Drosophila melanogaster: one gene and its partner. The protein of the gene in region 1 interacts with the protein of each later gene in a pairwise test. Each region holds a gene or a part of one and is shown on either strand. Other genes may lie near its edges.

Region 1 (11,846 bases):
ATATCTAATTAAGACTACTTTTTTTTATTACACATACAAAAATGTCATTTTTTTATTAACTCATTACTATCGTTGATTAAAGGAACGTATATTACAAACTGAGGCAGATCTTTTAACTTAAGGAGCCAGTGACAATATTCTTTGGAAGGAGTAATCTAAAATCTACAATCAGTGCAGAAATCTATTCCAGTTGATTGCTTAGCAGTTTCTATGTTTTGGACTTGTCATTTTGTGCACAAATCAATCGCGACAGTAGCAGTACTTCCGCAGCTCCGGATCCCGGTCGTATATGCACCGGGCCTGATTTCCATACTTATTGACGCGCGAGATGTCCGTGAGTTTCGTTGTGGCACTGAACGTGTGCAGGCTATAGGCCACGCTCGCCTCAAACAGTCCCTCGCCGGGCATCGTTACCACCTGGAGCTGGTACATCTCATCGCGGACCAGCGTCTGACCCGTCATGTCCGCCAGGAAGCCGTCGCGGTCGCTGTTTGTCCTGAATTGCAGCAGCTCCTTGTGCGGCTGCAGACGCAGCGCCCAATTTACACGGTGAATCTGTTGAACAATGAAACAAATGGAAGTATGATCTTTATCTTATCTGGAAATGTAATCATTAAATTGATGATTCGAACCTCCAGAGGTGCACAGTATTGGCGTTGCTCGACTGTGGCCAAGTTGATGGCATTTACAATACTTTGGGCAGCCTTGAGAATGATGCCCGTATACCGGGAGTCGTTCAGCTGCAATGGCAGCCAATTGAGGCAGGCACACCAGTGAGGCTCTATGTAGGCATCCGCACAGGATCGATTGCTCGGAATTGGATCCAACAGCGACATGGCACGTCCACGGGCTAACTCCGAGATGCGAATCCCAGGCGGGCTTGTTTCAGTTTTCGGATCGTTTATTTCTCCAAATTGATCCACAGCGGTTTGCAGTTCTGTGAAAAATCCAGCATTATTATCTTGTAGATGTCTAACGCTCTGTCGTACATACGTATTACGTGTTTCAGCGTGGCATGAATGTCGAATGGCGTGGTCAGGTGATGCTCGTTGGCCAGAAAGTTTTTGTACTCCTGCGGAAAGCGCTTCTTAAACGACTCGGGAAATACGAAACTGAAGAACGGCAGACGCTCTTCCTGTTTTCCCTGCAGAGTGGCTCGCACCTCGGCAAATCGATTGCCATGATCGGCCATCATGATGAGAATGGTGTCGTCTAGCAGCGATCGTTCCTTGAGCGCCACCAGCCAGTCATGGACATCATCATCCGCTGCTCCCACTAAGTTGATGGAGTCGTGGGACAAGCCGCCATGGAAGCTGAAGGCAAAGCGCGGTGCATCGCGATACTTAAGCATAAACTGTACGAAAATTATACAATGAGTTAGTTTCCAAGCACATTTCGAAAGAGAACATACGTTTTTTGTGTACTCCAGCATGGTGATGTGATCAGGCTGGTGGCCAATGCAGTTGGGCTTGCTCTCGGCGGCCATGTGCTCCGCCTGGACATAGTAGGTACGCAGGTAGTGGTCCACCGGCTGGGCCTCAAACCCTGTCATGCGGTACGTGAAAGTGCCCACATTGGGCAAATCCTCATTAAAGGAGGTCATATATCCCAGGCGGGCAAAATCCTTCCAAATCATAGGATACGAATCCACGCTGCCTGCCCCGGACAACCGCTTCCTTGTCTCCGGCAGCTCCAGTTCCGTGAAACCCGTCAGTAGGGGCACCAGCGCCTGTGGCGTACCATCGCCCACAATGTTATAGCCTTTGAGAACGGTGGCGCCCAACTGTTGGGTGAGATACTCGTAGGTCCTGGGCAGCTTGCGAATGAAGGCATTGCGACTCAGCGAATCGAAGCCAAACATGAGGACATTGTAGATGGGAGCTGTGGCCCCATCCTGCATCTGCTGCTGGGCCTGCGCAACCGCCTCGGGTGGTAGGACGGCCAAGTTCGGGGAGAAATTGGAGGCCGGTGGACGGGGCACCGTATCCCGTATTCCGTGGGCCATGCCAAACCAACTAAGTACATGAAGATCATTCTTTAAAGTATAGGCATAACTATAAAATAAGATAATGGTCACCTCTCGCCGCTGGAGGATCGACAGACCACCTTGACAAAGTCGCTGGCCTGCAGCACATAGGGCTCCTTCATGCGCAGTGACTGCCCAAAGCGAACCTTGTAGTCCGACTTGCGAATAATGTCCGTGTAGGAGCAGATCACATCCTCGTGGCTGGACGCAATCTCTGGTCGCACAAAGCAAATGGATTTCTTTGGGGGAAACGAGGTTTAAGTTAAGCAATCAGCTCTTGTAGAAGGGGCCCAGTCCCAACCAACCTCACACATGACCCAGTCCATGCCCTCGCCGCAGTTTATTCGCTCAACCGGCTTGTAGAACTTCATGATGTCCGGATTGTCCAGCGGCAGATGGGGATGCCGGCACTCGCCACGATTCACAGCCGATCTTATGGAGCGCTCGATGATTTCGCTTTAATTAAATACAAAATTGAATTAGTTGCAAAAGATAAATACTCTTTATCACAAATATGCGCATATGTACATATACATATGTATGGACAAACATCGTACAATCAATATCCCAAGCCGCTGTGACGCACAACTAGACATACTTACATTTTGAGGCTCTTATCCAGATCCCGCTCCACGTTCAACACATACCAGGTGACCAGCAGGACCACCACACAGCAACATGCTGCAATCTTGGGGACAGTTCCCCGCCGCACAAAGCGCATTTTGAATAAATTATGAGCTGCAAATATCGGACCAGACACATGAGACTTGCATTCGCATTATTGCTGCACATACAGCACTCACTCGGCACTCAAGCGACGTACTACTTACACCACTGCCGATCTCCAAACTTGCCGCCTATTCGACCTTTACTAAATATCCACGCTCATTTTTTAAATTAAACATTTAACTTATCACCAGCTGCGACGTACCGCTATATGCGAGTTGCCAAAACAGTGGCAAACAACATTGCGAATTCGGTCATACTGTGTTGTTTGGCAACGCGACCGCTGCAATTTAAACTGCGACTTTAAACTTTGCTTTAGGTCCGATTTAAAGTCGGTAGAACTTTCAGTTTGCTGTAGAACGAAATATACCGTTAGCTTATCGTTAATGATAGTGCTTTTTGCTATCAAAACACCATGTGATACAATCGAACTTAGGCGGGGATTAAATAATGGTAGATACTCCCTTAAATTTGCCGAGTACTTTACTTACACTCAGCATGTGACAAAGTAAATTCTATTAGTACCAAAGTTAAATAAGCCAACTGACAATTACTAAGAATAATAATTGGAAGAGAGATAAAGATCTGCTCCCACGATTATCTTCATATCTGATTTGGAGACTCGCCAAAAAGCTTGCGACAAAGCTCGCAGGCCGAGAACCGCGTCCGTCCGAAGATTCAGTTGTGCGCCAAGCTCAGCTTCGGCCTCTTCGTTTCACTCCGCTCCGCTGTGGCACCTGGTATCGTCCATATTATCGCGCCGTTTATTTTGATAACTGCTTCTGCGGTCGGTCTGTAATATTGTTTTTAGGCAAAACATTATCCGCAAACCACTGACGACGTCTTGAGAAAGGACTAACGAGGTCCGATTGCGCAACGAAAATGCTAAAGCCATCGATTATCTGCCTCTTTTTGGGCATTTTGGCGAAATCATCGGCGGGCCGTAAGTAAATAGAAGACTGCCAAGATGCTCATCTGCTGGACATGACTAGCTTAACGTATTTGTTTTTTTTTGCCGCGGGCCTTCACAAGTCGCTGGAAACCTGTTTCCGTACTTCCATAGCTAATGACCTAATTTATGTATTCACAATATTGGTAAGCTCTCTGAACCTAAAGTCTGGATTTCCAGAGTTCTACTTCCCCAACGAGGCGGCCCAGGTGCCCAACTATGGGCGCTGCATAACGCCGAATCGGGAGCGTGCGCTGTGCATCCATCTGGAGGACTGCAAGTACCTATACGGCCTGCTGACCACCACCCCGCTCCGGGACACGGACCGGCTTTACCTGAGTCGCAGCCAGTGCGGCTATACGAACGGCAAGGTGCTCATCTGCTGTCCGGACCGCTACAGGGAGAGCTCATCGGAGACGACGCCACCGCCCAAGCCCAATGTAACCAGCAACAGCCTTCTGCCGCTGCCAGGACAATGCGGCAACATCCTGTCCAATCGCATCTATGGCGGAATGAAGACCAAGATCGACGAGTTCCCCTGGATGGCTCTAATTGAATACACCAAAAGTAAGTAGAGGGGCATCGTCTTAAGTCTGAACGCACTTATCCACTGGTTAATTCCTACATGCAGGCCAGGGCAAAAAGGGTCACCATTGCGGCGGATCCTTGATCAGCACAAGATATGTGATCACAGCCTCGCATTGTGTCAACGGAAAGGCACTGCCCACCGACTGGCGGTTGTCCGGTGTTCGTTTGGGCGAATGGGACACCAACACTAATCCCGATTGCGAAGTAGATGTGCGCGGCATGAAGGACTGCGCGCCACCGCATCTGGACGTGCCCGTGGAGCGTACTATACCCCATCCCGACTATATACCGGCCTCCAAGAACCAGGTCAACGACATAGCCCTGCTGCGTCTGGCCCAGCAGGTGGAGTACACCGACTTTGTGCGACCCATTTGCCTGCCTCTGGACGTCAATCTGCGGTCGGCCACCTTCGACGGCATCACCATGGACGTGGCCGGCTGGGGCAAAACGGAGCAGCTGTCGGCCAGCAACCTCAAGCTGAAGGCAGCCGTGGAGGGATTCCGGATGGATGAGTGCCAGAACGTCTACAGCAGCCAGGACATTCTCCTCGAGGACACACAGATGTGTGCCGGCGGCAAGGAAGGCGTCGACTCCTGTCGCGGTGACTCCGGGGGACCGCTCATCGGCTTGGACACCAACAAGGTGAACACCTACTACTTCCTGGCCGGCGTCGTGTCATTTGGACCGACTCCGTGCGGTCTGGCCGGATGGCCAGGAGTTTACACGCTGGTGGGCAAGTACGTTGATTGGATACAAAACACTATTGAGTCCTGATTGTAAAATGTCATATTGTAAATAAATTCGACTAACGGTTTCCGTTTAAAAACTGCTTCACAGCGTGTACGCATACTGCATGTCGATGGGCGCGTTCGCCGAAATATTGGCATAGTCAATCTTTTATTTTGTAATGAAACTATTAAATTAAAATTGACAGTCATAATACTTTCAAAGGTACATTTTTTTTAATCAATTAAAAGGTAAATTGGGCAAATTATTTTGCTTTATTAAAATGTAAAGAAATAGTTGCAATAAAAAAACTAAATTCATAATCGTTTTCAAAGTCACTGAAAATTTTACTGCTGAACTCACGCAGATTAAATAATCATATCTGGCAACACTGCAAACTGGCTGAGTAGTCTGGCAACGCAGACATATTGGTGGTAAAAATGTTGAAGAACATCTACGTAACGCCGTTAAATTTGCTTAAATCGGCCACCAGCCTGCAGCAGCAAGTGCGGGTAAGTGCTCTCCTGGATTAGGGAAGCGATCCCCATTCACCACCAATTTGCTTCCAGACCACGTTCGTCCTGAAGCGCAAATATGACCCGCCGCTGCACAAAACCAACGAGAAACCCCGCCGGATGAGGGCCAAGAACTTCATCTACGAGCTCGTGGACGACACGCTGGTCAAAAAGCGGCCCAACATCGAGGTGGTGCTAAAGACCTTCGTCGAGGGCGTTGGCGACAAGGGCGACGTGGTGTCAATGAAGCCGCACTTTGTCTACAATAAGCTCCTGCTGCCGGGTTTGGCCGCGTACAATACGCCGGAGAATGTGGCCAAGTACGCCAAGACAGAGGCTGAAAAATCGACTGTTAAACACAGCTCCCCCTACGCCCAGCGCACGGTCAACATGCTGGAGACCATTGTGCTGGCGGTGGTCATGAACAAGGATGAGCCATGGGTGCTCGAGCCCTGGCACATCAAGGCCTCGCTGCGCAAGACTGGGTTCTATTGTCGCGAGGAGTGCATTACCCTGCCCAAGGAGCGCATCGAGGGACCCGACCTGAAGAAGGAGAACAAGGACTTCTACTGCACTGTGACCATAAACAAGCTGGAACAGGCGCGACTCAAGTGTCGTCTGCACCACTGGAGCACAGATCCCAGCGAACGGCTGCCTTACGTACTCGAGCACTGGAAACTCCAGTCTGAGCCCCTGCTGGATGTATGTTCACCCGAAAAAACCCCTTAGAGACCCCATACCAAATACATGCGATTGTTACAAAACTGTTGATTTATGAACAGCCGGAAAACAGAGTTTATTTAACATTTTTATCAAGTTGTACGACGTGGATACTTACTTAGGATTACAAGTCTATATGATGTTAATATAGTGCACTAATGCACAGCTTTCAGTTCCACTTCGAAGACGAGAGTGGAGTTCGGTCCGATCTTCGGTGGAGCTCCCCGTGCGCCGTACGCCATGTGCGGGGGGCAGGTAATGACTCGCTTGCCGCCCACCTTCATGCCGGCGACTCCCACGTCCCAGCCCTTGATGACCTCTCCGCCGCCCAGGGCGAACTTAAATGGTTTTCCCTTCAGGAGGCTGTCGAAGGTCTTGTTGTTCGACTGCAGGCGGCCGATGTAGTAAACAGATACGCGTTTGCCCTGCTTGGCTTCTTCGCCTTTGCCGACGACCTGATCCACAATCTTCACGCCTCCGGTGATAGTACGTGGATCCTTAGAAGCTGGTTGCTGCTTGGCTGGCTCCTTGGCCTTGGGTTGTTCCTTCTTGGCCTCTGGCTTCTCCTTCTTCTTTTGCTGCTGCTTGGCCTCCTCCTTCTTGGCCACACCGTTCTGCTCCTTGCCAGATTTCTTGGCGCTAGCGCCAGGAGAGAGCTTGGCAACCTTGGCCTTTGGCTGTTCCTCTTCAGCTTCGGAGTCGTCGCTGTCCTGTTCATCCTCCTCGCCACTCTCCTCGTTATCCTCATCAACATCGTCGTCATCTTCCTCCTCACCATTTTCGAGGAAGGACTCGTATTCCTCGATTATCTGGCTATCGTCATCAGTATCCTCCTCGTCCTCCTCGCCGCTCTCATTCTCATCCTCATCATCTTCAGACTTTTTGCTATTCTTGATCGCCTTGGAGTTCAGCAAATTCTCGATCGTCATTTGATCGTCATCCTCATCATCTTCGGAATCAATGTCGTGCAAGTAGCCCAACAGAGAAACGCTGGCGTCGCCTGTGAAACGAACGAAAGCGTCAGAAACGGATAAACATGCGAACATAGTGGACATAAAAGGTCTTACCGGCGGTGTAGAACATGATGCGATCGCCCTTGCTGAAGTTCAGGTCGAGCGCAACCTGTGGAATGGCCTTGGTCACGGTGGCCACGATGTACTCCTGCTTCTCGGCAGCGAGGTACAACTTGGCCTCCTGGCCCTTGTCGAGTGCCACGCCCGAGATGTGGAACGACTTGATGATCGTCTGCGAGTACTTGCGCTCAGGCTTCATGTTCAAACCTGGAAGAGGACACAGTTGGTCAAAAACATGGTTTACTTTACATCGGCGTGCAAATGGCGCCGCTCCACGCTGCCGGTAAATCGAGCGGCAAGCACGTGGTGGCAATAAAAGCGCGGTCGGAGCACCCAAGAGCTCGTTGGCACAACCAGCCCGGAGGGGGCAAGTGAGATCAGTTCGACTTACCCCAAAACATCGACATCTTGCAGAATTGTAGGCTACTCTTAACGGAAAATGCAATATAAAATAGGAGAAATTGAGTTCGCTAAAACGAAACGGAACCACAGACGCTAGTGATGTGATGTGCCGCCAATGCGCCGTATTTATCGATTATCTTTCTCTTATCGAAATTAGCGGTGCGCAGCCATATAAGCATAAGCACATCGTAGACGCCAACCGCCAGCAAAAATGTGCTAATTATGGCCACGTGTCCACGCACCCAGGCGAATGGTAAAAGTCGTGTTGTATTTGTGGCGAAAAAAATTTGTGTCGATTGGATTGGGGCCCCGCCTTGTTAGAATTTAACCATTTCGCGCTGCTGGAGCATGATAAGCAGCCCAGCATGACGGAGAAGATTACGCTAGCCGACGCGCTGTCCAACGTGGAGGTGTTGGACGAGCTATCCCTGCCGGACGAGCAGCCCTGCATCGAGGCGCAGCCCTGCTCGATTATCTACAAGGCAAACTTCGATACGAATTTCGAGGATCGCAATGGATTTGTCACGGGTATCGCCAAGTACATCGAGGAGGCCACCACCCATGCCAACTTGGTGAGTTAGCGTATCCGGCTTATCGCATTAGCATTACTCACAGCTCTGAACCCCTTCTCTCCGCCCGCAGAATGTGCTCCTGGACGAGGGGCAGAAACACGCAGTAATGCTCTACACCTGGCGCTGCTGCTCGCGCGCCATTCCGCAGCCCAAGTCCAATGAGCAGCCGAATCGCGTGGAGATCTACGAGAAGACGGTCGAGGTGCTAGCCCCGGAGGTGAACAAGCTGCTCAACTTCATGTACTTCCAACGCAAGGCCATCGAGGCCTTCTCCGGCGAGGTGAAGCGCTTGTGCCACGCCGAGAAGCGCAAGGACTTCGTGTCCGAGGCGTACCTATTGACGCTAGGCAAGTTTATCAACATGTTTGCCGTGCTGGACGAGCTGAAGAACATGAAGTCCAGCGTGAAGAACGATTACTCCACCTACAGGCGAGCTGCGCAGTTCCTCAAAGTGATGTCGGACTCGCACACCTTGCAGGAGTCGCAGAATCTGTCCATGTTCCTGGCCACGCAGAACAAGATTCGCGACACGGTCAAGGACACGCTGGAGAAGATCGTGGGCTACGAGGATCTGCTCTCAGATGTGGTCAACATTTGCGTGCATATGTTCGAGACAAAGATGTACTTGACCCCTGAGGAGAAGCACATGCTGGTAAAAGTTATGGGCTTTGGCCTGTTCCTTATGGACAGCGATGCGTGCAATATCAACAAACTTGATCAAAAGAAGAAGATACGGCTGGATCGCATCGATCGCATCTTTAAGAACCTGGAAGTGGTGCCCCTCTTCGGCGACATGCAGATTGCTCCCTTCAACTACATAAAGCGCAGCAAGCACTTCGATTCCAGCAAGTGGCCGCTGTCCAGCTCAAACGCCATCAGCCCACAGGCGGATCTAATGGTGCATTTGCCGCAGATACGCGAGGATCACGTCAAGTACATTTCGGAGCTGGCGCGATACACAAACGAGGTGACCACCACCGTCAAGGAGAATCCCTCTGATGCCGAGAACCGGATTACGGCCGACCTGGCTCTGCGCGGCCTTCAATTGCTGTCCGAGTGGACCAGTGTGGTCACCGAGTTGTACTCCTGGAAGCTCCTGCATCCGACTGATCATCACCAGAACAAGGAGTGCCCCGTGGAGGCTGAGGAGTACGAGCGGGCCACCCGCTACAATTACACCTCGGAAGAGAAGTTCGCGCTGATCGAGGTCATCGCCATGATAAAGGGACTGCAGGTGCTAATGGCGCGCATTGAAACCGTATTGTGCGAGGCTATCCGGCGTAACATCTATTCCGAGCTGCAGGACTTCGTGCAGCTTTCGCTTCGTGAACCGCTGCGAAAGGCCGTAAAAAATAAGAAGGATCTTATCCGGAGCATCATCATGTCGGTGCGAGAGACATCGGCGGACTGGCAAAAGGGCTATGAGCCCACCGACGATCCAGTGGCCAAGGGCAAGAAGGATCCCGACGGCGGCTTCCGCATCCAGGTGCCTCGCCTCAATGTGGGACCTTCCTCCACTCAGCTATACATGGTGCGCACCATGCTGGAGTCTCTGATTGCCGACAAAAGCGGCGGCAAGCGCACTTTGCGCAAGGACATCGACGGAAACTGTTTGCTGCAGATCGACACGTTCCACAAGACATCGTTCTACTGGAGCTACTTGCTCAACTTCAGCGACACGCTTCAGAAGTGCTGCGATCTCTCGCAGCTGTGGTATCGCGAGTTCTACTTGGAGATGACCATGGGTCGTAAGGTTAACAAGTGCTTGGTGCGGCATCAGCACAACGAGGAGTGCAAGGATCTGATCACCATGGAGAAGCGCATTCAGTTTCCGATTGAAATGTCCATGCCCTGGATCCTAACCGATCACATTCTGCAAACGAAGGAGCCCTCAATGATGGAGTAAGTAAATGGCGAATAGGTGAAATGATCTGAACTAACTAAGTGCCTCACACAGATTTGTCTTGTATCCCCTGGACTTGTACAACGACTCGGCGTACTACGCACTCACTGTCTTCCGAAAGCAGTTCCTGTACGACGAAGTGGAGGCCGAAGTCAATCTGTGCTTCGATCAGTTTGTCTACAAGCTGAGCGAGCAGATCTTTGCCCATTACAAGCAATTGGCGGGCAGCATCTTCTTGGACAAGCGATTCCGTTTGGAGTGCGAGGTACTCGGTTTCAACTTCCAGTCGTATCCCCGCAATAATCGTTATGAGACCTTGTTAAAACAACGACATGTCCAACTTTTGGGTAAGCAAAACACCCATTGCATCATGATCTTTTGGTTAATGGTTTCTCCATTCGTTTAAGGCCGTTCTATTGACTTGAACAAACTGATCACACAACGCATAAACGCCAACATGCACAAGAGCATTGAGTTGGCCATCAGTCGTTTCGAGGGCAACGATATAACCGGCATTGTGGTAAGTGGAATCCTACAGATGTCTAGAATCGGTCTCTAATTCGCTTAATTTCAGGAACTCGAAGGCCTGCTAGAGGCGAATCGAATTTGCCACAAGTTGCTAAGCAAGTACTTGGCCCTGGATAACTTTGACGGCATGGTAAAGGAGGCTAACCACAATGTACTGGCGCCTTACGGCAGAATAACACTGCACGTCTTTGTGGAATTGAACTACGACTTTCTGGTCAATTACTGCTATAATGCAGCCACGAATCGGTGGGTGTGCCGCCAATTTTCTATTGTTTAAAATACTTATTATTACTATTATCTCTTGCAGTTTCATTCGAACCAAAGTGAATCTTTCGTCGTCACAGGCTATTCAGCGTGAGAAGCCGCCACAAATGTCCCATTACTATCTGTGGGGTTCCAAGCAGCTGAATGCTGCCTATTCCACACAGTATGGCCAGTACACTGGCTTTGTAGGTTCACCGCATTTCCATGCCATGTGCCGCCTGCTGGGCTATCAGGGCATAGCAGTCGTCATGGACATTATACTGAAGGACATTGTTAAGCCACTGATCCAGGGCTCGCTGCTGCAGTTCACCAAGACGCTGATGATTGCCATGCCCAAGTCATGCAAACTACCCCGTTGCGAATATGGTTCGCCTGGAGTGCTCAGCTACTATCAGGCTCATCTTACAGACATCGTGCAATATCCGGACGCGAAGACAGAGCTATTTCAGTCTTTCCGGGAGTTTGGCAACAGCATTATCTTTTGCCTGCTGATCGAACAGGCGCTCTCGCAGGAGGAGGTGTGCGATCTACTGCACGCCGCCCTCTTCCAGAACATCTTTCCCAGACCTTTTTGCAAAGGTATGTACAAGTGGATGCTTTCATGGGTAGTTTTTCTTACTTACATCTCTACCCATTTCAGAGAATGAAAAACCGGAGGCTAAGCAAAAGCGTCTTGAAGCACAGTTTGCCAATCTGCAGATAGTTTCAAACGTGGAAAAGATTGGCACTGCAAAGGTGAGCCCCCAAACTTAATTGATTAACTTTATAATAATAATCTTTACCAACAGCAAGCAATGATAGCACGAGAGGGAGATTTGCTGACTCGTGAGCGTCTTTGCTGTGGCCTCAGCATT
Region 2 (7,805 bases), on another chromosome or scaffold:
TATATAAAATTAGTAGACAACAAACCCCTAGTATAAACAACAACGCGAGATTCTACGGGGCACCCAGATCGAATTGTGTGTGGACGGGTCCCGAGCAAGCAATAAAAGAATACGAAGACGCGGTATCCACATACCATTAACCCATCCACATTTACAGCGCCTCACTGCTAGGAGGGCATATTCGAACCCCCTCTTTATTTTTTGCCCAACTTTGCACAGTTGTTCTGTAAGTTAAGTTTAATACGTTGAGCCAACGAATCGTGAGGTATTATTTATTTAAACAAAACGAAACAAACGAAAAAAAAAAAACATAGGAAAGAGGAGGAAATAAGGAAATTCAATTGAAATTATTTGCTGATACTGTTCGCAGCTAGTCGAGCAGATACATAGGTAGCCTGTAAACAATAAAACAATTACACGCGGATATATACACCCACTGTAATCACAGATGTCAGTGCTTGATATACACATGCCTAGGTCTAGTGGAACTGGTAGTTCTACCATGTTGTACTATTTGTAGTAGGAGTCCCAAATCTGATTATGCTTATGTCACCCTTTATTATAGGAATGTTCTCTGTATATTATTGCGTCTCTTTTGCGTCTACGTATATATTTTTTGGTAAATGATTTTTTATATATACATATACACATTTATATTTGTAATTTGTATTTATCCATGTGCAAAAATAAATTATGATGATTATTTTTTAAAGAGTCGTCCCCCTCGAAGCATGCATAACAGATTGTAAAAAATGAATCGATTTATATATAATACGAAAATCACACACTACCCACTTGTATCTGAGCGAAAGGGCCTTAACAATTAGTAGGATGCATGATCGATGTATGCAGATCGGTTATAAAAACAGATATAGCAGGCATATTATTCGCATGCGAAAACCGTTAATAGAATAATATATTATAATGGCAATATGTGTATGCAACTAATAAGCCCTAACTTCTAGTTAATTACTGCTTTCCTATGTTATAAACCAAATGGCGATATAATCAAAACAAAAGACAAGCCCACATAAGTTAAATGTGTATGCTACCAACATAACAAACCTTTGAAGATCAAGCTGAATTATGTATTTCTAATATTAAATATATCACAACCCACACATAAAAAAAAAAAAACAAACACGACAAATAGAACAACAAATTATACAAGCAATTCCCCTATTTATTTAGAACCACACTGAAACACTAAAGAAATTCGCTTCTTATCGTAAATCCACAATTGCATAATTTATACGATTAAACAAAATATATATTTATGTGAATAAACTGTAACTAATTCTCAAGGCAATCATCCAAATGCGATTCGCTACTTCTTGGTTTCCAGAAAGTCCCCCAAAAATGTCATGGTCATCTGAATGGAATGCTGCTGCAAGAACCTCTCGATAAGGGGGAACATAGGAAGTTTTCAATGGAACTTTACTCTGGCGAATCTTATCGGATAGTTTGTACACAACCGCAAAAAGTAGCACTAATAGTGGTTGACTTCTATTAAAAGTAAAGCAACAGGTGGATCATGGAAATCATACTGATTCAGATTCATTATCTTTTCAAAACCTATTGAAAACAAAAGTTACTGGTTTAGAAGGCAAATGAACCAGAAATTTTAAATTTATACTTATATAGTGTAAAATTGTTTCCAGTGCTCGATAGTTCCATGTTTTATTATTTGAAAAACAACTGCCGTTAACAAAGCGGTATGACATCATCAATGCCATCATAACAAATCAGCTGCCGCTGATAAGCGCAGCTTGGAGCTTTTATGTTGTACCCAACCTACTAGGTACAAGACTGAGTGTGCTTTACAACACTAAACTGTTGGCGAGCTTTCCTCTGTTTCGCAGCTCGGACCGCCTTTCATAACGTAGTAAGTTTTCGTTGCGAACGGACGTAGCCCAACCAACTTGGCCTTAACCCTTGCGCTCCCTCCGATTTATTCCGCGGCAAACACATTCCAGTGGACAGTGGTGCAGTTCAGCCCAAGACCAACCTACATTTTAGCTCCCTGCAAACCCGTTTCTTCATCAAATAACTATGGCGTCCAACCGTGCAGCGAAGTCTGGTTTTGCCGCCGAGGCCCAGCGCAAAGTAAGTACCAAATAGCAACAACAACCGCACCCCCCACCCAAAAACCGAAGAGCGCCAAACAAAACAACACAATAAACAAATTGCCCAAAAAAAAATCAACTTTTGCACGGGTGTGTGCGTGAGTTTAGAGCTGCATTGACTTTATTTGGCGCTGCGTTGTCAAGATTTTATCTTCGCGCGCCAAATGCCAAAAATTAGCCAAAAATGGTCTTGAAATTGCCAGCGTCTAACAAGGAATGACCTCATTTCGCTGATAAGTCGAACAAGTATTTATGTACATACATATGTATATAGGAATATATACATGCATGTACACACATGTGTAATGCATGCGTAATTCGAAAGCTTGAAGATGATTTAGGTGATTTTGAGGCATTGTCAGTGCGGGTGATTCAAATCGAAGATCGAGAAAACAGTTGGTTATCCATAAATCAAACAATTAGTAGTAGTTAGTAAAGCTCTGGAAATTTCGATATGAATAATATCCCAAGTTCGAACAGTATACATTATAAAGATGAGCTAATATAATCCTAATTAATTGTGCTGCAATAAAAGCAAGTCTGAATACATAGGTGCTACTTGTGGAGTATCCACTGTAGAAGGAAGACCCTTTGGATGATCTCAACCCAACTATTGCAGCATGGTAGCTTCCGCAATGTAAATTGACATTAGTTCCGTCCATTAGCAGCACTTTGCCTCAAATGCACTCATACAAATGCATCGGGCTTTTGTGGGTGGGATGGGGTTGGGGATGGGTTACCCGTACCCTTCGGCCATTTGGCCCTCGTCAAGTCGGGGTTACGCAATTCCAACCGCCCCTGGGCAGCCCCAAGTGAAATTGTATATGTCGCCGGCACAGGGGATTAAGTGCAGTCCGACGAAATCCACAACAAGACAACTACAGTTACAGCATTGCCCAAACAAAAAACGAAACAAATAATCGAGATTTTTCATATCCGAAGTTTTGTATACCCTTGAGGAGCACTTTACCAAGTTGTTGACAAACTGAAATATTTTGTTTTGCTTTAGCTTTGCTTATCTAAAAGTATTTCCACCCGGATTTCATTCTCTTGAGTCAGCCATTTGGCAAAAGGCCTTGTTTATCGGTATTATCTGTACTAGCGCATTTTTAAAACACAGTATGTTTTAAAACACAGTATGAAGTATGTTTTAACGTGGTTTATGGTGATATATCAGGCACTATGGTTATGAAAAATATTATGAGAACTCTGTAGTGTTTATTTATGCCATATCATGTTAAGCTAAAACATTTTGGTACTTGGAATAGGAAGAACCTTGGCATAGGGTATAGAAAAATAAGAGAAATAGAGGCGAGTGCCTGGAGGCGCAGCTGCTGGCGCGACTCCAAGCCGCGATCGAATGGCTCCCCAGGAGCCGAAGGCGATGATGTCATTCCTTCAGCTGTCCCTCCACTGGTGCTCCTCGATCCCTTCGCGATCCATTCAACTCGAAGGCGTTGTTAGTTTGAGCACTTTTGCCGCTCGCTGGGAGTCACTCATATCTTCTGAGGGGGATTCGGGTTCGGGTTTTGAGTTTTTGGGGGTGACAGGAGGTAGAGGCGATAGCAGCACCTTTTCCACCACATGAGCACTTAAAACTGAGTATGTGGCGTAAGCAAACAGCAAAACAAAAGTGAGGCAAAAAGGTATGAAAGCAATATTTTTGTTTGTCTCATGGGTTCTCTACACTCCGTGCTTGCGTGTGTGCTTTTTCCGACTTTTACGACCAGTCACCGACAAATTGGCATGGATCTCAAGTTTCGGCCAGGGAATTCGTAGCCCCTTTATTTTCAACCCTTTCCTGGGATCGTAGCACCAGCTGTCGGGAAAGTTCTAGGAATGAGGCAGAAAGGTCTCAAGTTACTCAAAGTATGTTTACTAATTTGTAACTACATAAACGATTGAATATATTAGTTTAGCAATCTTAGATTCAGCATGATACTATTTCCTTTCTGGAAATTCACCCCTAAGAAGCCGCACTGTAGTTGTTTTCTTTTCCAACTCCCTCCACGCTCGCAGCTGTATCTCACCGCATTGGCGGCACATGGGCCACGTACTAATCACTTGGCCTTTTTCGGAGTCAAGAATCCACACTCAATTAGCAGTGCATATGTGAAAGACACTGTGTACACACTTGTACATCCGCAGCACGCACCTCCCTGTATCTGTATCTATATATCAGTATAGGTACGGGTATCTCTATCAGTGCGGGCGACACGTAAGTGGAACACTTGGCCCACATGAACTCCGTGCTCCTAGATGGGTATAGCTAGGTATTCATTCCCGAACCTCTCCCCCAAAAATTTAACACTTGTTGGCCGCTAGTTTTAGATAAGCCATAAACAGTCGCGGGAGGTGGTCGACAGCGGCTTTATCGTAAATCAAATGCTGTTTTGGATTTCCGGTGAAACTACTGCCAGTGCCGAAAACACCTCGACAAATGAAAATGGAATGAAATTCTGCCCCCTGTCCAAATCCCTCCGAAAAAGGCACTCGATGGGGGCCCATACAACAACTCAGTCAACTGAAGTCGAAGTTGGTCGCTCGTAAACCAGACTCAAAAATCATATATGTATGTACGCAATTGACCTCGTTACATTTTTGCGGATTTTGTTTATGTTATCGTTGTGGAATTTTTGTCATTTTCCCATTTATTTATCCACCCAAAAGATATCGGTCAGCAATTGTCATGGATCATGACGCATTCGAATCGCAAAAGAAAGCGAAATCGGCGGTGGCATAGTGAATAATCACCAGATCTGGCCATTTCGTGGATTGATTTTTGAAGACGCGATTACGTAATTGTTTGCCTGGCGATGGATGCGTCAACTCCCAGCGATCCCTTTCGCAGCAAAATAAAAAAAAACACACATTTAACTAATCATCACCATCACCATCTACATCTATGTATCTGCGCTCAAATATTGCCAAAGTTCAAATTCAAGCCATAACGATGCCATGACATCACCACCATCGGCTTCAAAAAGCCATCAGCCAAGCAAAACGTGCCCCTGTCTCTTTTTCTGTGATCCTACAATGGATTATTATGCAATGATCATCAGTCTGGGGCTCCTCGCCGGCTTTTGGGCGGAAACTTCCGTCAAATTTGCAATAGGGATTCATTATTTATTAAGTATAAAACGTTTTTAGAATATTAGAGACACTTAGTTTCTTGCTGAAGCTAAAACTTATTTCTTAAAACAAACTGAATGGTACGGCTTAGTAATCCATTAAAGGAAGCATATGATTCCTAAAAATCAAGTTTTTAAAATATTTTATTTTCTGAATTTTTTAAATAAATGAGCTGGCTATCATTAACTACTTCCCGAAGTTTCGGAAACTTGCACAAATCTTTGATCATAAAACTCGTAGTGAAGTAAATTCTCGGAACTCTCACTCAATTGTGAAGTCTGAATCATGATGAACATAAATAATAATGTTATGTTGTACCAAAACATTTTCACTTTTCAAGTGGCGTAGGTGTGAATTAAATTGAGTTGGCGTGGGCAGGCGCTCTCCCAAGAAACTGGACTTTTTTCGGAGCTTGGGTTTCTGCTGACCCCCAGTTTTTTTTTTTTACAATTTTGGAAAGCAGGAGTTTTATGCTGGCTCAGCCAGTTTTTGAGCAATTTTAATTTCACTAAAAGCCAACCAGGCTTGGCTTGGCATGTCTTGGCCACTAATGCGCATTGCGTGTGGAATGCCATCCACCCAGAACGCACTTGAAAATAGAATACGTTGTACATCATGAGCTGGGAAATTAATTAGGTTCTTGAGTCTACTGAGCCCTTCATTGTCACGCCGCTTTGTAATGGCCCCTAATCGTGGCTAACTCATCAAGTGACCCAGAGACCCAAAAAAAAAAAAATGTAAAATGAAATATAATTTTGGCTGGGGAAACATAAGGAAATCATCGTAATTTCTAACGGCAAACGTTGACTAATTTGTAGTTCCGCTTCTAATTATTTATTGTGTTTTATACGTTTTGAGTTCGTATCGAGCGGTGGCTTTCGTCTGGAATTCTTGACTCCCGATAAGGCAGTAGTATATTCTAACCAGCTGTACATATGTTTTTAGAGAAATACTTATATATATATATATATATATATGTATGTATATATGGGGTGTACTCCATTACTGGCTGTACTTTTGGCCCGGCATTCGATCGTCGCCGAGTTTTGAGTCGACCTCATAGCGCACAAACCAAACAAAAACACAAATGAAACTCACTGGCTGGCTGACTGGCTGCTGACTCATTAAAACAGCGCTAAAAATATGTATTTTATAGAAGACGAGGCTTCGGAAGAATTGGAGGAATAACTTGGCTATTCTCCACCATTTTTCATTTAGTTTCGAACATTGTTTGTCTGTCCGGGGACCACCAACTGTCAAATTTGTTCTGCTGGATTTGTTTGCCGGATCTTGGGATCTTCGCAGAAGAGCCAAAAAACGTGTAAGAAACGATCGGAATTCATTAGGCTCTTAACGGCTTTTGGCTTACGATTATTATGTATGAATAGTATGCATAAACTGGCCGCAGAATCCCATAAACATCAGCATCAGCATCCCATTCCTAATCAAAATTTATTCATCTGCCCCGAGGGTGTCAATTTATCTGCCACCATCAGGGGCTCTAAGTTATGATCATCAACTTCTGGCCGCGACCAGATTTCAGATTCCCGATTCTCCAACGGAATGTCAATCAGAAATTGCTTTTATTAATTGTCTCACGCTTTCGATGATGAATGGTGCTGTTCCGTTGGCGTTCCGTTCATCGCTCTTTTCGGGCTCTAATGAATTGACCTCTGCTGTTAAGTGCTTGACCGTTAAGCTGAAAAAGTCGGACAAAGCAATTTGGCCAACGGTCGATTGCAATTATTGATAATCTCCAGTTTTGGCCAGCACGTTGGCTAGATAAAGCCATTTCCCGGCGATTACCATATACTGTGCTTATCTCACTCAAAGATCGCTGGCCTTTATTGGGTTCGAACAACAAAAAAGTCGTAAATTTTTAATCTACGATAGCCGCGGACTTCTGTGGCTCGGGAAGGGATTGGGTTGCTGGAATTAGTTGGAGTGGTATAAATACATATTGTGTGTGCAAAGTGCATTCACCTTCATTAAGCACACAAAAACATGGGGAAAAGCGTCCGGACTGTATTTCACTTTTGTTTTACTGCATCGCCAACTTCTCCCCCATTTCCCAACAATTTGTGGGCTTGCATTTCCCCACGTCCAGCGATAAGAAGTGGAATACAACTCAATTGGCGACAATCGTTCATTCGGTTGCTCTGAGATCATTCGTTTTAATAGACTTGCCAGTCAGAGCAAAAATCACACAAATACTAAATAGTAATACAATGAAGGCTAAATTAATAGGGAAAAAAACACAACTTAAAAAAATATTGGTACCACAAATAAAAAACTTTTAGATATGAGTTGTGAAGATAGCAACGCTGTTCAATCAAACTTTATCTATAGACAAAAAAAAACAATCTTATCAATATATTTGAAACATATATTTGATCAAAAATTCATTCATATAGTACTGAGTAGTATTGTATAATATTCAGCTCATAATATATTGCGAACAGTTTTTATAGCTCCACTAACTTAGTTTTTAGTACTTGTTCTTAATCTAAAATCAGTTTGTGACAGCGATTCAATTCAATCAAATAA

What was found. The genes of interacting proteins can lie anywhere in the genome.
Region 2: the proteins of Fkbp39 (region 1) and Chd64 interact in a two-hybrid assay, tested with the Drosophila melanogaster proteins (one study listed by BioGRID).

Annotation. Positions count from the first base shown.
Region 1 is NT_033777.3:15,325,299-15,337,144, forward strand, and holds Fkbp39 (FK506-binding protein 39kD), read right to left. Parts: upstream 7,836-11,846; 5' UTR 7,731-7,835; coding exon 7,715-7,730; intron 7,531-7,714; coding exon 7,318-7,530; intron 7,251-7,317; coding exon 6,406-7,250; 3' UTR 6,286-6,405; downstream 1-6,285. Other genes in the region: CG6236 (uncharacterized protein), read right to left, coding at 241-555, 633-937, 994-1,354, 1,412-2,015, 2,078-2,265, 2,332-2,482, 2,629-2,747; ea (easter), read left to right, coding at 3,635-3,695, 3,882-4,268, 4,333-5,063; mRpL9 (mitochondrial ribosomal protein L9), read left to right, coding at 5,456-5,527, 5,585-6,259; Cyfip (cytoplasmic FMR1 interacting protein), read left to right, coding at 8,091-8,297, 8,368-10,199, 10,255-10,547, 10,608-10,720, 10,775-10,974, 11,036-11,571, 11,633-11,727, 11,781-11,846. UniProt on the Drosophila melanogaster protein: PPIases accelerate the folding of proteins. May function in a signal transduction cascade during early development.
Region 2 is NT_037436.4:4,116,457-4,124,261, reverse strand, and holds the start of Chd64 (Chd64), read left to right. Parts: upstream 1-1,873; 5' UTR 1,874-2,052; coding exon 2,053-2,106; intron 2,107-7,805.